Linked DNA regions of Notamacropus eugenii. The protein of the gene in region 1 interacts with the protein of each later gene in a pairwise test. Links are inferred from orthologs where the notes say so. Each region holds a gene or a part of one and is shown on either strand. Other genes may lie near its edges.

The links.
Region 2: the proteins of NECAB2 (region 1) and KLC4 interact in binary tests that used the Homo sapiens proteins (3 or more experiments, as listed by UniProt). The two-hybrid records come from large-scale screens. The link is inferred for Notamacropus eugenii from reciprocal best matches to the Homo sapiens genes NECAB2 and KLC4.
Region 3: the proteins of NECAB2 (region 1) and ISCU interact in binary tests that used the Homo sapiens proteins (3 or more experiments, as listed by UniProt). The two-hybrid records come from large-scale screens. The link is inferred for Notamacropus eugenii from reciprocal best matches to the Homo sapiens genes NECAB2 and ISCU.

Annotation. Positions count from the first base shown.
Region 1 is NC_092872.1:697,732,913-697,738,788, forward strand, and holds the start of NECAB2 (N-terminal EF-hand calcium-binding protein 2), read left to right. Parts: upstream 1-1,813; coding exon 1,814-2,044; intron 2,045-5,193; coding exon 5,194-5,218; intron 5,219-5,876. UniProt on the Homo sapiens protein: May act as a signaling scaffold protein that senses intracellular calcium.
Region 2 is NC_092873.1:105,962,555-105,968,430, forward strand, and holds the start of KLC4 (kinesin light chain 4), read left to right. Parts: upstream 1-2,479; 5' UTR 2,480-2,588; intron 2,589-3,417; exon of another isoform or gene 3,418-3,508; intron 3,509-4,461; exon of another isoform or gene 4,462-4,538; intron 4,539-4,978; exon of another isoform or gene 4,979-4,983; 5' UTR 4,984-5,004; coding exon 5,005-5,262; intron 5,263-5,876. Other genes in the region: MRPL2 (large ribosomal subunit protein uL2m), read right to left, coding at 61-229, 2,213-2,284.
Region 3 is NC_092875.1:23,477,568-23,483,443, reverse strand, and holds the start of ISCU (iron-sulfur cluster assembly enzyme ISCU), read left to right. Parts: upstream 1-2,915; 5' UTR 2,916-3,009; coding exon 3,010-3,153; intron 3,154-5,268; coding exon 5,269-5,382; intron 5,383-5,876.

The DNA.
Region 1 (5,876 bases):
CCAGCTTGTCCTTGTGTGGCGATCCAACCACCTCAAGTTGAGGCTGTGTTGTCCAAATCTCTGACCATGTCTGAGTAAAAGGCTGGAGTCCTAAGGATGGAGCCTGTGAATGGGCAAGTGGGAAACTGACAAGATGTGGGGGGAGGGAGAGAAGGGGTAGGCTCATAACATTCCGTGACTCTTCCCTGTCCCTCCCCCTCTCCCCTATCATTTGCCAGATTATGTCAGTTTACCTCCAGAACATCTTGGACCCTCTATTCACTCAGCTTCAACCCCAGCTCAAGACCTTACCACCTGCAACATCCTTCTGTTTGGCCCTCTTGCTTCTAGTCTCTCCCTTCTTGGTGGGGCCATCTCTAGTTGTCCTGATCTATATCTTGCCACTGGATCCAGATGGCTCTAGAGGAGAACATGAGGCTAGTGACCTTGCACAGCCCTGCCTCATTTAAATCCACTTCAGTTACATGTCATGGCTTTATCTTCCTAATGTCACGATCCTCTTCGAAAACAAGGGAAAACAACCTCTCCCCTTTCCAATCCCTCGTCCCCGAAGCTATCCCATGGATGACGATATTCCTAAAACACAAATCTGACCCTGTCATCTGCCTCCTCAAAAATCCTCAGTGGCTCCCAACCTAGAATTTGAGACCCATGACAACATGGCTCTCAACCATTTCCAGTCTGTCTTCCATTTTACTCTCACAATCCTAGGCCCAATCAAACTAGCTGTTCCCCACATACAACCCTCTCCTACCTCCATCCCTTTCCCCAAGTGCTGTCTCAAGTCTAGAATACTGTCCTCCTTCACCAGTGCCCCTTTCAGGTGTCGCCTGCTACATGAAATCATATCTGTTTCCCCCTTATTAGCATTCTCACTCTTGAAATTAGTTTGTATGCATCTTGTATTAACCTTTATTTATCCATGCTGTATTTCCTCAGAATATAAGCTCCTTGAGGACAGACTTTTTTTTTTCTTTTCGTAAAAAGCAGATGTTTGTTGACTTAAATTTTATTGAATGAGAGAGAGAGAGAGGGAATCAAAGTCTGGGGGAACTGGATGTGACGGGATGTTAGAGGCAATGCTCAGGTCCCTGGGAAGGGTGTGAGGGAAGGATGCTCCAGGAGCCCCAAGAGTCCTGTGAAAGAGAGTTCTGTGGCTTTTGCCGGCAGAGGGAGTGCCTGACTTAGGGAAACTCTTCTTTACTCGCCTGTCCCTGCAAGCCGAAGGACCAGAGACAGCGAAAGATGCTGGGAAGAATCGATGTGCTGGAGGCCTCAGGGGCTCTCCTAGGCTGGACTCCATCCCTTCCTAGATGCTGAGTCCCAGAGGCCCTGGCCAGCGCAGCCCACCCTTCCTCTCTCAGTTCAGGCTCAGCCCGGACCGGCGACTTCACGGATTCCAGATGCCCTAATACGTCCCCCAGTTATCCCCTCTGGAAGCAGCCCCTATCCCTACCGCACCCTCATCATCCCCAGAAATAAGAGGAAGGGAGGGAGGACGTTAGGGGTCCTGGGGAGTTGGGGTCCCAAGATGGACGGGGATGGAGGCTCAGGCCCGGCTCCAGCGCCCCCCTGCCGGGCGATGTGGTCCTGTCCGCCCCCCAGCCTGGGTCCCGCGTCCCGAGTCCCGCATCCCACGCGGTGTCCGGGGGGGCGGGGTCTGCAGCGCCGGCGCCGCCCGGAGCGGGCTGGGAGAGGTGGCCACGCGTGGGCGAGCGGGCGCTGGAGCCGGGGGCGGGGGTCGGGCCGGCGGTGGTGGCGGCGGCTCCGGCGGGAGGGAGGCGGGAGGCGGGAGGCGGGCGCTGCGCGAGCGATGTGTGAGCGGGCGGCGCGCCTCTGCAGGGCCGGCGCGCACAGACTGCTCCGGGAGCCGCCGCCGCAGGGCCGGGCGCTGGGGGGGCTGCTCCGCTGGGTGGGAGCCAGGATGGGCGAACCCCGGGAGCCGCTGGCCGACGGGCCGGGGGCCGGGACTGGCCACGGGCTCTGTCCCACCCCGCCGACGGCCCCGTCCCCGCCCCGGAGGGGCACCTCGGTCATCCTGGACGTGAGTAGCACCGGACCCTGTCCGGAGCCCCTCCCCGGCCCGGACTTCTGCCCCCTCCTCCTCGCACCCCCTCCCCAAAGCTTTCTTCCTCTCCTCCACCTCTCCCCATCCCTACACTGTCTCCCCTACGGTCTCAGCATCTCTGATCTCCGCACGATCTTAGTTCCCCCTTCTCAGCCATCCCTAGCCCCCTGCTTCCCGGTCTCCCATCCTTAGGGATCCCCATGAAAGCTTCTCCTTCTCCCAGGGACTCTCTCCCCTCCCTTTTCTCCGTAAATCAGATCCTGCTCCCTTTCGCATCCCGAGGGATCCTCATTTCCCACCCCATCCCATTTTCCTGCCTCTCCACCCCCATCCCACCACCACCCTCTCCTCCTCTCCCAAGACAGAGCCCCGAGCGTTTCCCCAGTCCTAGACTTCTCTGAATCTGCAGCCCTTCCCTGCACCCAGACATCCTCACTGGGACAGTCCCTTCCCTAAATCCTGCCGCTTTCCTCAATACTCTCCCTAGCCCAGTCCCTCTCCAGAGTTCCTCCTCCTAGTAGGACTCTCTGACCCCCCACCCCCAGTCTCCCTTCTTCTCCTAGGACCTGGTTCCGCACCTTGAACACCTCCCCTCTACAGCCCCAGCTTTGGGGATCTGTTTAGATGGGGTCGCGTTTAAGGGGGTGATTGGGGAATGCTGAGTCCAGGTGGTTTGGTTCATTCAGTGTAGACTTGATGGTTACGGGGCGGGGTCGAGGGGGTAGATTTCTGGGGTCCCCTTTCCTTCCCAACTAAATGGGGCTCAGACTCACGCTCTTTCTTCCCAGCAGTGGTGGATGTATGTGTACAGAAAGTGTGCATCTGTTTGGGGAGGAGGAAGGGATGAGATGTTTCTATGAGAAAGATCGAACTCAGAACTTCCTCACCTTTTAAGGGTCACTTCCGAATTTCCTTTCAGAGTCATGGAGGAGAAGTTCTGAGTATCCCCTAGTTGACCGGACCCTGCAAGACCCTGCATTTATAAAAAGAGTTTGGATTGGATGACTTATGGGATTCTAGTCTCTAAGATTCTACTTGAATCAGACTACGCTTCTGTTTCCTTACATATTAGAAAGGGGACGGGCTCTTATCCTTTATCTCTTACCCTAACCCCCTCCTCAGAAATCAGATATCGACGGATAGCAAATGATTTTCAATCTGGTAACAAGAGACTACTCAAGGAATGAGGAATCTAAGGGCAAAAACCATCCAGGCAGAAAATCATGGGAGGAAAATACACAGATCCCACTATGTTGCTCTTAGACAATTTGTCACTTGAAGATCTAGGTGGTGGTGGTGGTGGTAGTAGTAGTAATAACTCACATTTCTTTAACATTTAGAGAGTGTTTTCCCACAACTCTGTCAGTTAGAGCAAGTATTAATATCTCTGATGAGGAAACTGAGGTTCTCAGCAGGGAAATTATTTGCCAATATCACACAAGTATTAGAGCTGGGATTAGAATGCAGGGTCTTTCTATTGTATCATTCCGCCAGCCCTTCCCCCCACCCTTTGAACCCTGGTTCATCATTGTGTGGCCTTTGTTTCTCTTCTAGACTCTCCCAGGTCCTATGGGAGGACCCCACTGGCAGCTCACCCAGTCACAGAGATAGTAGGTCCTATGTATCTGAGTCTCCAGTCTTTTGCCTATTCTCAAAAGACTGCTTGGTGTATGCCAGCACCTTCACTGCTTCTAAATATCTGACATCGAAATCAAAGTGATCCCCAATGCACAGAAATTTGGGACCCTAGTTATTCTACCCTCAGCCCCACTTATCACCAAGTGCCAGAAGAGGAATAATTAGAATTGGGTCATTCTGATGTTTAGTACTTGGAACCAGAGAAACTATTTGCTCAACTGGGTCAGGGAAGGCTTTATTCAACCCAGGTTTTAGAGAGGGAGAAAAAGAAAAAAATAGCTCTGACCCTCCTTCTAACAGCACATAGTAGGGGCTTAATAAAGGATAGTGGACTGACTCACTGACTCTTACCCCCAAAACAATCTTCTCAGGATGCCCCACTACTAAGGGCAGCTTAATTGCTGCTAGGTGATAGAGCACCAGATCTGCAGTCAGGAAGACGAGTTCAAATCCTAACCCAGGTGCTTATTATCTATGTCACTTCTGCTCTATCTGCCTCAGTTTCTTCCTCTGCAAAATGGGGATGATAATAATACTAGCACCTACCTCATGGGATGGTTGTGAGGATCAGGTGAAACAATGTCTGAAAAATGCTTTGCAAACCTTAAAACACTTTGTGTAAACTAGAGACCCCCTCCCCCAACTTGCTGGCTTACATCTTGTTGAAATGGCCTCCCCAAAGTCTGACCTGGTCCCTGGGAGAACTGGGGGCTCCTGAAATTTCTGCCTCATGTCCTCTGGTACCCAGAGGAGAATCCATCCTTTGGACACTTGAATGTGAGGGTGTGTGTGGCTGTGTGTGCTTATATAACTCTATAAATTCCTTCTAGCTCAAAATTCTATGATCCGTTTGTGTGTATGTGTGTGTGTGTGTGTGTGTGTGTGTGTGTGTGTGTGTGTGTGTGTCTCCAAGCGTGGAACACAGGCCGTACAGATAAGGCAGAGCACAGGGATGCCCTCATGCATAGGCACAATAGAAAATCCTTTCTGTAGTTTGAGTCAAAGGGGATACCACAACTAAAATAATTCCCCTACCTACCTTCCACAGGTGGGTGTCTGAAAATCCACCTTTGATACTTATTCCTTGGGATTTCTTCCAGGATTCTCTTTTTAATTAAAATAGAGAAAATTGGTTTGAGGAAGAATAGGAGAGGAGCTGAGAAGATTGACCACTTCACAGTTTTGTCTGGGGCTGACCTTATTTATATAAGGGGATATATGTGTGTGTGACTATATGTTAATTGTGTATCTGTGATTGTGACTGTGACTCTGCATGTATGTATGAATGGCTGTGGCCACATCCATAGGTGAGTGTGACTCCATGTGTATATTAATATATAAGTTTCTGAGATTACTTCAATCCAACTTATTTCCTTGACCATTCAGATGGGTAAAAGGGGCTGGGGAACAGGCCCTGAGAGCAGGGAAATGGGAGTATTTTCCTTCTTCCTCAAAATTAACCTAGACTCTCTCTCCTCTCTTTGCAGATTTTCCGCCGGGCTGACAAGAATGGTGAGTACTCCTTGGCAAAGCTCAGCATAGGAAGAGGGGAAGAGAGCCTAGTTCAGGGGTCCTTAACCAATGGTCTGTGAACTTATTTTTAAAATATTTTGATAACTATATTTCAATATAACTGGCTTCCTTTGTAATCCTACACATTTTATTTTATGCATTTGAAAACATGATTCTGAAAGGGGGTCCATAGGCTTCCCAGATGGGTAAAGAGGGTCCAAGATACCAAAAAAAAAATACAGTTAAAGACCCCTACTCTAGAGTCTCTGAACCTAGAACATTGCCCCTCTCTCTCTAAGATGGGATCAACAAAGCCCAGGATGGGTCAGGCATATCCCCTCCTTGCTGACCTACTGTAGGTTCCCATGTTCCACCTGTGACTTCATGAGGGGAAGAGCCCTACTGGGGACTGGGGCTGAGCCAGTGAGATTAGAATTTAGCAGGGGGAGGTTTGGACAACTCAGTGAACCATGGGGGTGCATGAAAGGGAAGGATGAGGGAGACATGAAAACAACACTGGGTGAGTGACAGCACATTGGAGACTCTCTGCATGGCCTGACTGAGGGATGGACTGCACCAGATGTGTGGGCCTCATGGGGCTGGGATTTGATTTGGCCTTTTATTCTCCCTGACTTTATCCTTCTTCTACCAAAGTCCT
Region 2 (5,876 bases), on another chromosome or scaffold:
TTAAGGTTTTACTATATTTTTCCCTCATACTGCTTCCACCATACCTAGTGTTATTCCTACCTGTGTGGTCCCGGCCCCCTGACTTCCTCATCTTCACTGGTGTGATGGTATATTTGGTACAACTCTTCCAGGAAGCAATGTTTGCATTAAGGACCCCAGAGGTGAGGAAAGATCGGCAGGCAACTAGCACCCCAGGTGAGGAAGACTGGAGGAAGACACTGCTCATCACCTGGCAACAAAGAGAGAAACTCTACGTACTTAAGGAGTAACTACAGGGAAGGGCATTTGGAAGGGGGTTCCTTTCAGCTTCATAGCATATCACTACTAGGAAGCTTTCCAAGCCAGTTTTTTACTTTAATTTCTAGTATGATCCAAGAATACTATCCTTTATACTATAAACATACTCTATATAGAGAGACACATTTGACTGCCTCCCTACACACAATTTACCCCTTTCTACTTATCAGAAATTTCTTTAAGAGGCAGCTAGGTGGCACAGTGGATAGAGCACCAGCTCTGGAGTCTGGAGGACCCGAGTTCAAATTCATCCTCAGACACTCCATATTTACTAGCTGTGTGAAGCTAGGCAAGTCACTTAACCCTGATTACACACTTCCCCCACAAAAAAAGGAAAAAAAAAATTATCTACCGAGCATTCTCTCCCCTTTGCTTCCTACCAGAACCATCGCTTCCTTCTAGACTTGACTCATGACTTACTCTCCTCCCAGAAATCTCGAGAACCTTCCCTATTCGAATCCACCCTGACCAGATCATTCCTATGCTCCATTATCCCACCCAGCAATAAAATGAGTACTTTGTTCTTCTGAATTAGTTACTGCTTTTGATAATGACTTTTATCCACACTGTATACAGTGTTTGTTGCCGTTGTTCAGTGGTTTCATGTCTGACTCTTTGTGACCCCATTTGAAGTTTTCTTGGGAAAGATACTGTAGTGGTTTGCCATTTCCTTCTCCAGTTCATTTTTTTACAGATGAGGAACTGAGGCAAACAGGGTTAAGTGACTTTGGGTCACAGGCACAATAAGTGTCTGAGGCCAGATTTGAATTCACAAAGATAAGTCTTCCTGACTCCAAGTCTGCACTCTATCCACTGCACCACCTAGCTGCCCCATCTCCCAAGTTGTAAAAGCTTCACATTGCAGGTCAGTGACTGCAATGGAATGTGTGTTTGCTGTCTAAGGACTGGTCTAGTTAGCTCAGAAAAAAAGCCAGCTATCTTGTGATAAGGTTGTGGGCCACAGCAAATTATTATCACATACTGAGGTGTGCAGAGGGGACATTTTGTTTCAGTTGAGGATGTACACATCCTATGATATGACATCACAGATCTTTAAGTATATTTTATAGATGTACCTATAACCTCCCCCATCAGATCCAGATGCATCATAGATGAAAAGCTAACTGGGACTTTGCTTATTTAGTCCAATTTCCTTCATTGTACAGGTGAAAAAGTGCGCTTGGATTTAAACCCAGGCACTCTGATTCTTTGTACTAAATCATCCTGCCACTGTTAAATCATACCAGGATGTAACACACACCCAGGTCCGCAACTCAGGATACACGACTGGATACTGTAGCAGAAACTAGATACTTATACTAAAGATGACGATGATGATAATCTTTTCTATTTGCAAATAACTTTCTAGTTAAGCCGAGAATAGCAGTAAATCATTGTTTGGGATCTAGGTTTTCAACACGTCACTTTATAAAACTGGCAAAGCACTTTCATGTATTATTATCTTCATGTTACAAATGAGAAAACCGAGTCTGGAAAGAGGGTAAGTGACATGCTCAGTCTCCCACAGCTAGTAAATGTCTCCGGTAAGATTAGCACTCAGGCCCTCCCAACTCTAACCGATCTGCCTCGGTGCCTCAGTGCCCCGGTGCCCTCTACAAAAGGCGGCAGTTCCTCCTGGCTCTGACACCCTGGGCTAACAGCTCCGACTCTCAAAATAGGCCTGCGATTATTAGCCTCATTCTGGAGATACGGAGAAATGAGGGAGCTGGCCAAGGTCACCAGGGTGGTTGGGGCCGGGGCCGGGGGACAGAGACCGAACCCAGGGCTCCTGACTCCCAGCCCCGGGACGGCCTCTGGAATGCGCCCAGCGGGCCTCACGCCCCTCGCGCCGCCCCCTGCTCCCGCAGGCCCGCGCCGCGGGGCCCAAGCTCGGAAACCCCCGCAGGCCGGTTACCTGGGCGGCAGCGTGCGGGCCGGCGGCCAGGCGGAGCGAGCCCAAGGCTCGGCACAGCGCCCGCAGCGCCATCGCGGGGATCAGCTCTCCACGCCGTCTGCCCGCTTCACCCCGGCGCCTTCTGATGACGCAACGCCCCGGGTCCGAGGACGCCGGGAGGGCTGGAGGGGTGGGTCCAGGTACGCCGAAGTCGGCCCCCTGGGGCGTCGCTGCCCACAACCAGTCCCGGAGAGGTTTCTTACCCGCGTGACCCGAGGTAGACTCCGCCCCCAGGAGCCGTCAAAACAATTGCCTTGAGCGACGGCCATGTTGGATTTAAGGGGGCAGTACCTGCGGGGGAATCGGGCGGACCGCTGGACAGACGGACATACCAAGGGTGAGTCTCTGGCAGAATTCCCTCTTCTCCCTTCCTCTCCCCCCAGTCAGAGAGGCTGGGGACCCAGATCCCACCCTGGCACCCGCAGACTGAGAGAGACACCTCCGGAACAGACAAACGGACACACCCTCCCCTCCTTCTCTCTCGAGGACGGACACCTAAGCACACTCACTTCCTTCTTGGACAGACCGACGGACACATCCACATCCTCACTCCCTCCTGAGATAGACGGACGCCTCACCCCTTCATGGTCAGACACACTTCCACCTCCTCTTTGGACAGACAGGCAGACACACGTACACCTTCTCACCCCCTCCTTGGACAGACCGTCACACACACCCCCCCCCCCCTCACTTCTTCCTTGGGCAGACACCCTCACTGTTTCTTAGGACACACAGACACATACTCTTACTTCTCCTTGGATTGTATAGGTACACATATGGACGTAAACATCCATCCATCCTTAGTTCCTCTTTGATAGATACATACGTGCCCTCATTTCCTTCTAGGACAGACAGACAGATGCATACCTTCGTCCCCAGCTAGGACAAGTAGATACATACACATCCCCACTCCCTTCTAGGGCAGACATACATAAAAACATCTTCATTCCTTCCTAGGATGAAGAGGCAGACCGACATACACATATAATCATTCCCTAGTAGGACAGTTTCTCTCCTAATCCTTCTCTCTCCCAGACTTTTACCCACTCTCATGGGGCAGGCACTCATCTCCAGACAGATACCCTTCCCTCCCGCCAAGACAAACAAACTTGGTCCTCTCTTCCTCTTGAACAGATAGATACATACTTATTACTTTGTTTCCTCAGGTCCACTACTGACTCCTTGGGCAAGAGACAAATAGATTCCCCTATCTCTACCCTGAGACACACACACACATTCTGTCAGGCTAGAGAGAAGGTAACATATGTACCTATTTTATATTACATTAGTATATGTCACATATGATATTATTATAGCTTATATAAGTACTATAACTATTATAGCTCCCGGGATTGACAAACCCACCCACTATACCTAGATAGGTAGGGGGTTATGTGTCTTCTCTTCTCTCCCCAGCCCATTCAGGAAGCCATAGCTACTAGTGAACCCCGAAGATTCAGACCATAATGCTCTTACTCTTAGGCAGACATTCTGCTTTCCTAGTTTGTCTTAGGAAAATAAGACGAGTTTGCAAGTTAGTAAATGTTGCTCTCCAGTACTGGGGAGTTACCCCTTACTTTAGTTGCCTGGGGGTAGAGGTGGGAAGAACAAAGCAGAATGAGAGTATCCTCTTCGGTTTCCACCTGAACAGACCCTTGTACTCACACCTCCCTCTAGGCACAAGGATCCTTCTTGACTAATAAACCGGGGCAAACAGAACTTTGCTCTTTCTTAGGTTTCCAAGCAAGCTTTCTCCTTATTCATGCTTATTTCCCTTTAGGGGATCTGAGCCCAGGGCTGACGTAGTGTTTCTTGGGGGAAATAGGAGAGAAGGATCTTTTGGAGGGCTTGGGGCCTGGGCACGAAGCAAAGGAAACGTCTTTTATTCTAGGTGGGGCTCTGTGACAGGTGCTTAGAATAGTAGTGGGGGAGGGGGGTTGGGGTGGTACTGGACTCTTGGACTTTGTATAGGGCGTCTCCCAGTCTGCTGAGCTGAGCGAGGTTCTTTCTGGCTCCTAGCTTTCTGGCTCTTGGCTCCTGCCTCAGCCCTGCAGTCCAAGGCTTTGCCCTTGGTTGGGGTAATAGGACTTGGGGCAATGACTGGTTCATGAGGAGGAAGAAGAGAGTTGAAAATAAGAATTGGAGGAGGAGAAGTAGGGATAACTAGGGCTGAGTGAAGTTGGGCTCAAGGCGCCTTGAGTAGCTAAGAGAAATAAAGGATTAAACCTGCATGGAGACAACCGTGTCCAACCCTTGGAGCTGAGGCCTCGTCAGTCTCTTTTATACTGTGAGAACTGTTACTTCTCTTTCTCCTTCTTTAGAGCTTAGTTATCATCTGCCTTTCTTTCTTCTTCTGTGTTATTCCTTTCACTGACCTCCTTTACCATCTCTCTCTCTCCCAATGTCAAGTCCTGGTTTTTCCTCCGAAACCCATTATCCCTCCCCTTTATACACCAGCCTCTTCCTTTCCACTTTCTATAATGTTTCTATGTTTCTCCTGTCCAACACTTTCCTCACCTCTGAGGTCCATTGCTCCTCCTACCCTGTCTTTTCTGCTGAACTTTACTCATCTCCAGTTTTATTCTCCACCCACTGAGTTTTGCTTTCTGTAGTATACTCAGTTCTTTCTATGTTCTTACTCTCATAGTGATATGTTTTTCCACAAACCAAAATTGTTACAGCTCTCTCTCCTCCTCTGTCTCTCTCTGTCTTATGATTTCTCCCCAGCTCAGGTTGGAATCCCCTGACCCAGGATGTCGGGGCTGGTGCTGGGACAGCGGGAAGAACCATCAGTGTCCCGGTTGAGCCAGGAGGAGATCCTGGGGAGCACTCGTCTGGTGAGCCAGGGCTTGGAAGCACTGAGAAGCGAACACCAGGCAGTATTACAGAGCCTGGCTCATGCTATTCAGTGCCTGCAGCATGAAGGCCATGAAGCTGGACTGGTACATGAGAAGGCCCGGCAGCTTCGCCGATCCATGGAAAACATTGAGCTGGGTCTGGGGGAGGCACAGGTGAGATTGCGGAGATGGAGAAATAGAGGGCTGGAATGGAGGATAGGATAAGACTAAGATTTCAAGGGAAGGATGAGTGGGTTTGTGAGGAAAATTTGGGACTAAGAGCTGGAAGAAAGGGACAATTTAATGGAAAAAAAATAAGGGAGGTATGTGTTATGGAGAGAGGAAGGTCAGTAAAAAGGGTCCTGTCAATTTTATCATTGTAACATCTCTTGTATATGCCCCTTGCTCCCCTCTGACACTGTGACCACTTTGGTGCAGACCTTCAGTACCTTACATCTGGATGATTGCAATAGCCTTCTATGTGGTTTCTCTACCACAAATTTCTATCCACTCAAAATCTGTCTTCTACTCAGTTGTGATTCTCCTAAAGCATAGGTCTGACCTTGTCATCCTTCTGTTTAATAAACTCAAAGTAGTTCCCTTTTACCTCCAAGATAAATGATAAAATCCTCTGTTGGCTTTTAAAGCCTTTCATAATTTGGTCTCTTCCTACGTTTACAATCTAAATACACTATATTGTTTTCTACTTCACAGTCCTGTGACACTGGCTTGCCAGCTGTTCTTCAAGCATGACGTGCCATGTTCCCACTCACAGGTTCTCTCCCTTG
Region 3 (5,876 bases), on another chromosome or scaffold:
GGGGCATCGTATGTTATAATGATGACACAGTGCTTGGAGCACGTCTCAGTTTGCAAAGCACTTCTTACATGCTAGCACTTTGGATTCTCACAACTGCCCCCACCCCTGAAGCAGGTGCATATTATCTCCATTTCACAGATGAAGAAAGGGCGGAGGTGGGTGACCTGCCTAGGTCACACACCAGGTGTCTGGGGCGGGATTCCACTGTCAAAGGCACCAGACCAGCCCCTACTTTGTGAGTGCTTTCAGCGCTAAGGATGATGGTTACTGCATACATTAAAGATACAGCACATAATGAAAGGCTCTTAATGACTCCTATGGTCACGTGACCAGCTACCAAGCGTCAGTTTCCCCATCCGCAGAATGGGTCATCGCCCAGATCAGCACGCTTCTCTCCTCCCTGGCAACTCAAGCACCCTTGCCCCGCCCCGCCCCGCCCCCCCAGGACTTTCCCCGCGGGCGTTGCTGGGAGATAAAGGGGCGTGGCCAGGAGGACAAAACCCGGCTGGGCGCCAGCGAGGGCGCAGTCACGTGAGGAGCGCTGGGCGGGGCGGGGCCACAAGTGCTCACCTCCCAATTTCCCCGCCCCTCCCCTTCCATTTCCCCTCCCCGACTCTGCCCCCTCGCTGAAGCCCCGCCCTCCCTTCCTCCTCCCCCCCCCCCTCCTCCTCCTCCTCTCCGCCCCGCGCTCCCTCCCCTTTCCCTCGGCCTCGCTCCGCCCCAGATAGGCCCCGCCCCCTCCATCTCAGCACCGCCCCTCCCTCTCTCCGGAGACCTACCGTCCTGGGTCCTGCCCCCTCCATCTCCCCACCCCCTCTCCTTCAGCCCCACCCTCCCGGCCTGGGCCCCGCCCCCTCGGTCTCGCCCCCTCGGTCTGAGCTCCGCCCCCCAGATCGTCGGCCGCGGCCCCGCCTCCTCAGTGGTTCAGCCTTCCGACACAACATGGCAGCGGCAGCGGCGAAGGCCGGCCTGGCAGGGTTGAGGCGGGCGGCCTCGGTGATGTGCCTGGGCACTCGGCGGCCTCCCCTCCGGGAGCTCTCGGCTCCGGCCCGGCTGTACCACAAGAAGGTAGGGCCGCGGAGCGCCTGGGCCGGGGAGGCGGGGACGTTGGAGACCCTGGGTGACGCCGTTAGAAAGAAGCGGCCACTGCGCCTGCGCGTGCGCCCCTCCCCCTGCGTGCGCGTGCGCGTCGTCCGCGTGTCCGCCGAGCAGGCCGAGTCCTAGGAGGGGCCATCTCCTAGGACGCCGCCGGGTCAAGTAGAGGAAACGGGCATTTAATAAGCTCCTATGTATGCCAGGCCCTGGGCGAGGGGCAGCTTTGGGCCTGATGTCGGGTAAACTGGGGTGGGGACCGAGGCCGGGGGGAACTCCCGGGTGAGGAAGCCCCTCCGCCAGTGCCCTCTTCCGTGAAAGCCCGGAGGTCGGCGGGAAGCCCGCCCGAGGTCAGCAGCCTTCCCCAAGACCCGCCCCTGAGAACGGGGAAGAAAAAGCGGGCCCCCTGCTGTGGCAGGGGAGGCCGGGGTCCTTCCCCCCACCTTTCTGACGGTGGAGGAAACTGAGGTTCAGAGAAGCCCCCTCTTGGAGCTGGCAGAAACGTGGGCGCCTAGTTTATGCTCAGAGCCACGGAGAGCCCCGAAGAGCTTTAAAAAAATAGGGGTGATATTATTGTGCACCGTGTGACAAATTAAAACGCCTAAGTTTTTAAAGTATTCGTTTAATTATAATCTCATGTCATCCTAACATACTTTTTACAAAAGAAAATAACTTTCCCAAAACAAAAGAAATTAGGCAGAAAAGTGGCCTTGTTTTACACGTACTTGCCCATCTCTTTAATGTCCAGTTGAGTCCAAGTCTGTTGCAAAGTGTTAAAATATATGAAGAAAACCTGACCTAAGGGGCGTAAGTGGTTGTATTTTAGAGCACCTTGGTGCTGTTACAGAACCCGTAAGAAGGAATTGTAAGACCTTTAGGGAGACCTGCTGACCTCCATCAGCCCCCACATGATACCCTGGAGGAAACAGAGACCTGGAGAGCTAAAGTCACTTGATGAGTGGGCCCCACTCCCACTCCCACTCCCAGTAAACGTCGGGAGTGGAATTTGAACTTGGGGTCTTTCCGACCCCGAATCCACCATTACACCCGCTGCCTGCCCTTGGGATAGCTGATATCCACACTAGAGGGCACCTCAGAGAACATCTACCCATCCCCTCATTTTACAAAAGAGGAAACGGGGCGGAGAGGACACAAGGTCTTCCATGAAGTAAATGTCAGAGCTGGACTTAACCTCTTCCCTCCAGTTAAATCAGAATGCTTTACTGTGTCATTTGAGGGTCTAGAGTTATACACATTAAACAGAAAATACTTCAAATACCTTGTGGTTTCATCACAGCACAAGTTCTCCTTTTCCCAGTGCCAGATGACAGTCCTTTCATGCTTTAATAAACAGTCTTTGACAGGTAAAGGTCGTGGTAACTTTTGTCCAAGCTAGTGGTGAGTTTCTGTGCCCAGAACATGGTGCACAGTTGGCTCTTAATGTTGACTTGCACTTAGTTAGGTTGACCTTTAGACAATAGGCTCCTTCTCCAAGCCTTTCCACTATGCAGGACCTGCTGGCATAACCAACAAGGGCCCAGGGTCACCCTGGGCCATGAAAAGGAGCTGCCTAAAGGAATTATTACAGTTCTGCTTTATAAAGTACTTTGCTATGAGGTCAGCAGTACCAGGATTATTATCCCCATTTTACAGATGAGAAACCTGGTATCTAGAAACAGGAATTGGCTTGGGGTGGAAGTCGATGGAGGCCCAAGACCCAGCAGTCACAGTCTCCAGGCTCAGAGGCAGGATTTGACCCAGGCTTCTCCATTCTGAATCCAGGGCTCCTTTCCACTGTATCAGCAGGAAGGATTCTGAGCAGATCATCCCTAAGTACCCTCCTGGTCTAGATGAGCCAGCACTGCCTCCCAACAGGCCAGTTTGGCCTTAAAGCAGAAAGCTCTGCTGCAGCTGGTGATGAGTCCTGCTGAATCAATCTGTAGCCTCCAGGGAAGTCAGACTGTCAGGAAGCCGGGACTCAGATTGGGAAGGGGACTTGCTGTCAGCTTGGATCTCCTCACTTCCCACTTCGTCCTTCCATTTCAGGCCCACCAGTCTCTGGTATGTTGGTGCTGGGGGGCTGGGGAAACCTCCAGGTGAGAAGCCAGGAAAACAGGGACAGGTCACAACCCCCCCCCCCCAGTACTCACTGATCAGCCCCTGGGCAGGCAGGGCAAGCCAATCACTTCCTCAGTGAAATCACATCCTCCTTTACAGGAGATTGTCAGGAAGGCCCAGCAACTTTTGCATGGAGGGTGCTGTTCCTCTTTGGGCCCTGCCTTAAGGTCATTTTGTTTTTTTCTTAAGAAAACAAACGGTGTGCCTGTGAAACCATAGTGTCAGATATTAGGGTGGGCTCAGATGAGCCCTAAGGCCCCTTCTAGCTCTCAGGTTCCCGTGAGTGATACGGAGCATTGATACAGCATGTTCAAGCTGGCGAAGCTTTTGACTGCTCTCATCTGCTTTGACCCTCACAAGAACATCTGATCCACTGATGTCCAGTCCCCAGATGTGTTGGAGATATTGTGACCGAGTCCACTCCTCAGCCACATGATATATGTCATGACCTATTCCAAACAAGGCCTGGAAGTCTGCTTAGCAGGCTCGTTGGAGTCTTTGCTGGCAGATGGTAAAGCAACCTCAAGCCTGCCTCAGAAGAAGCAGGGCATCTGTGACTGGGTTTTCCTGTTTTTCCTGAATCTGGGGATTCATTCCCCTACCCCTAAGATGGTTTTTGTTGCCCTGGAGCTGGCTCAGCAGCCAGAGTCTGCGATAAGGAAGTAAGTCCCTCTTGCTCTGGGCTGTGACACAGAAAATGGTAGGGAGTCTGACATTGTAAGTAACCTGTGCAGGGTAGGCCAGAGATATTAAAGCAAATTCCACCTTTAGTCTTACAATGCACCTCCTTGCTGGGGTCTTCTCTTTGGAAAGAACCACCAGGACCAGACAGCTCCGTAACAAAGCTCTGTGTTCTCAAGGTAGCGGGTTTGCCCTCGGGGAGCAGCCAGAAGTTGTTCTGAGGTGTCTTGGGGACATGAAGATTCACCTGGCCAGAAGATGGGGTTGTGACAGACAACTGAGGAGGAAATGATTTTTTCCCCATGTGCCTCCTGACCTGGAGGTTCCCAGAGCATCCTGGCCAGGCCCACCTGCCAGGCCCCGCTGTGCCGCAGTTACCTGGGGGCCAGGCTTCAGCAGACAGCAGGCACAGGGCCCAGCTAGGGGGCTGTGTACTTGTTTAGGGGGTTAGGATTCTGTGGTTGCACCTCGTGGGCCTCTCTTGGGACCCGTGCAGGTAAGGGTGGGGGGACCCTTCTGGGAGTCCCTGCATGTGCCCTCACCTCCCAGGTGCATTGGGGAAGACTTTGGCCAACTTCTGCTTCTGATCAGAATCACCTGAGATGATAATTGCTCTTTGTACGTCAGGGGACCCATGATGTCATCAGCACCTCCTGATCCCTGTGATTCGCATGCCTTTATTTCCTTCATTCTTCACCGGGGGGATCTGTTCAGCGCGCTCACCAGCTTCTGTGGCTTCTAGTGCCAGACATTCTGTACCATTGCCCCAAGCCCTGCATACAGGGCACCCATGAGAGATGGACAGCCCTAGGGGTAGGCCTTGGGCCAGGGTGTCAGAGGACCCACAGCACCCCATAGAAATACAATCAGATAATATCCCACTTTACAATGAAGGCATTTTGTGGCCACGGACCATTCCTGTTTGAGTTAGACTCCACTGCTTTAGGCAGATCTCTAAGAGTGGCAAATAAGGTGCCAACCCACATTGGTAGAGGGAGTTCCCTAGACCAGTGAAGTTGAATTTCCAATCCCCATCCCTCTGGTGACCAGCGAATCAGATAAAAGTGGTGGTGCTGCCTTTGGGTTGTGGGGGCATCAGAAGATACTGAGAATCACATGGGTCTTTGTGCCCCAAGTAAGGCAGTAGCCAGCGGAGGGACTGAAGCCCATCAGTCTTGATGAAACCAGAGACTAAAAAGTGGCTGCTCAGTTTGAGGGGGGGAGGTAATCTCTCATGGAGAGTTGGCTTCATGTTATGGTCCCAAGTTAACAAGCAGCCGCATTTCACAGAGGCCTTGGATCCCTCTCCTCCCGTATGGGAAGGAAATTCTTCGTTAGAGCTAGAAAATTTATTATTTTACAATTTTCTCATTTCAGGTGGTTGACCATTATGAGAATCCCAGAAATGTAGGATCCCTTGACAAGAAATCCAAAAACGTTGGCACTGGATTGGTGGGGGCTCCAGCTTGTGGAGATGTTATGAAATTACAGGTACGAGTGGGTTTCGTCTTTCTGAAAAGTCACAGTGACTTGACACCATTCCTCCTCTCTTTTTTTTTCTTTTAATAAGTTTATTATACTGGTAAACCAGAGAAATGCTATAGTTTCAGTGTATCTGGATTTTAGCAAAGCATTTACCATGCTTTATTTTTTGGTCGAGAGAGATAACACGTATTTGGACAAGGTAGTCCAGTTAGGAAGATTCAGAAACATGTGAAAGATGGGACTTTGCTAGTCATAATTGCCTAATTAGTCAGTGGCTGTTTATAGAGAAGGGTCTTAAGTTTAATGCTCCAGGATTCTCTCCTTGATCCTGTTATGTTCAACATTTTTCTCAGTGCCTTAGTTGAAATTTTAGATGGTATGTTTATCAGATTTTTTTCTTAAATATTCCTTCTCTCTCTTATCAACTAGAATTCTGTTTCCACTTAATTCATGAACTCATAAGTTCATTAGCAGAGTGTAAGGTATGACCCGAATTGGGG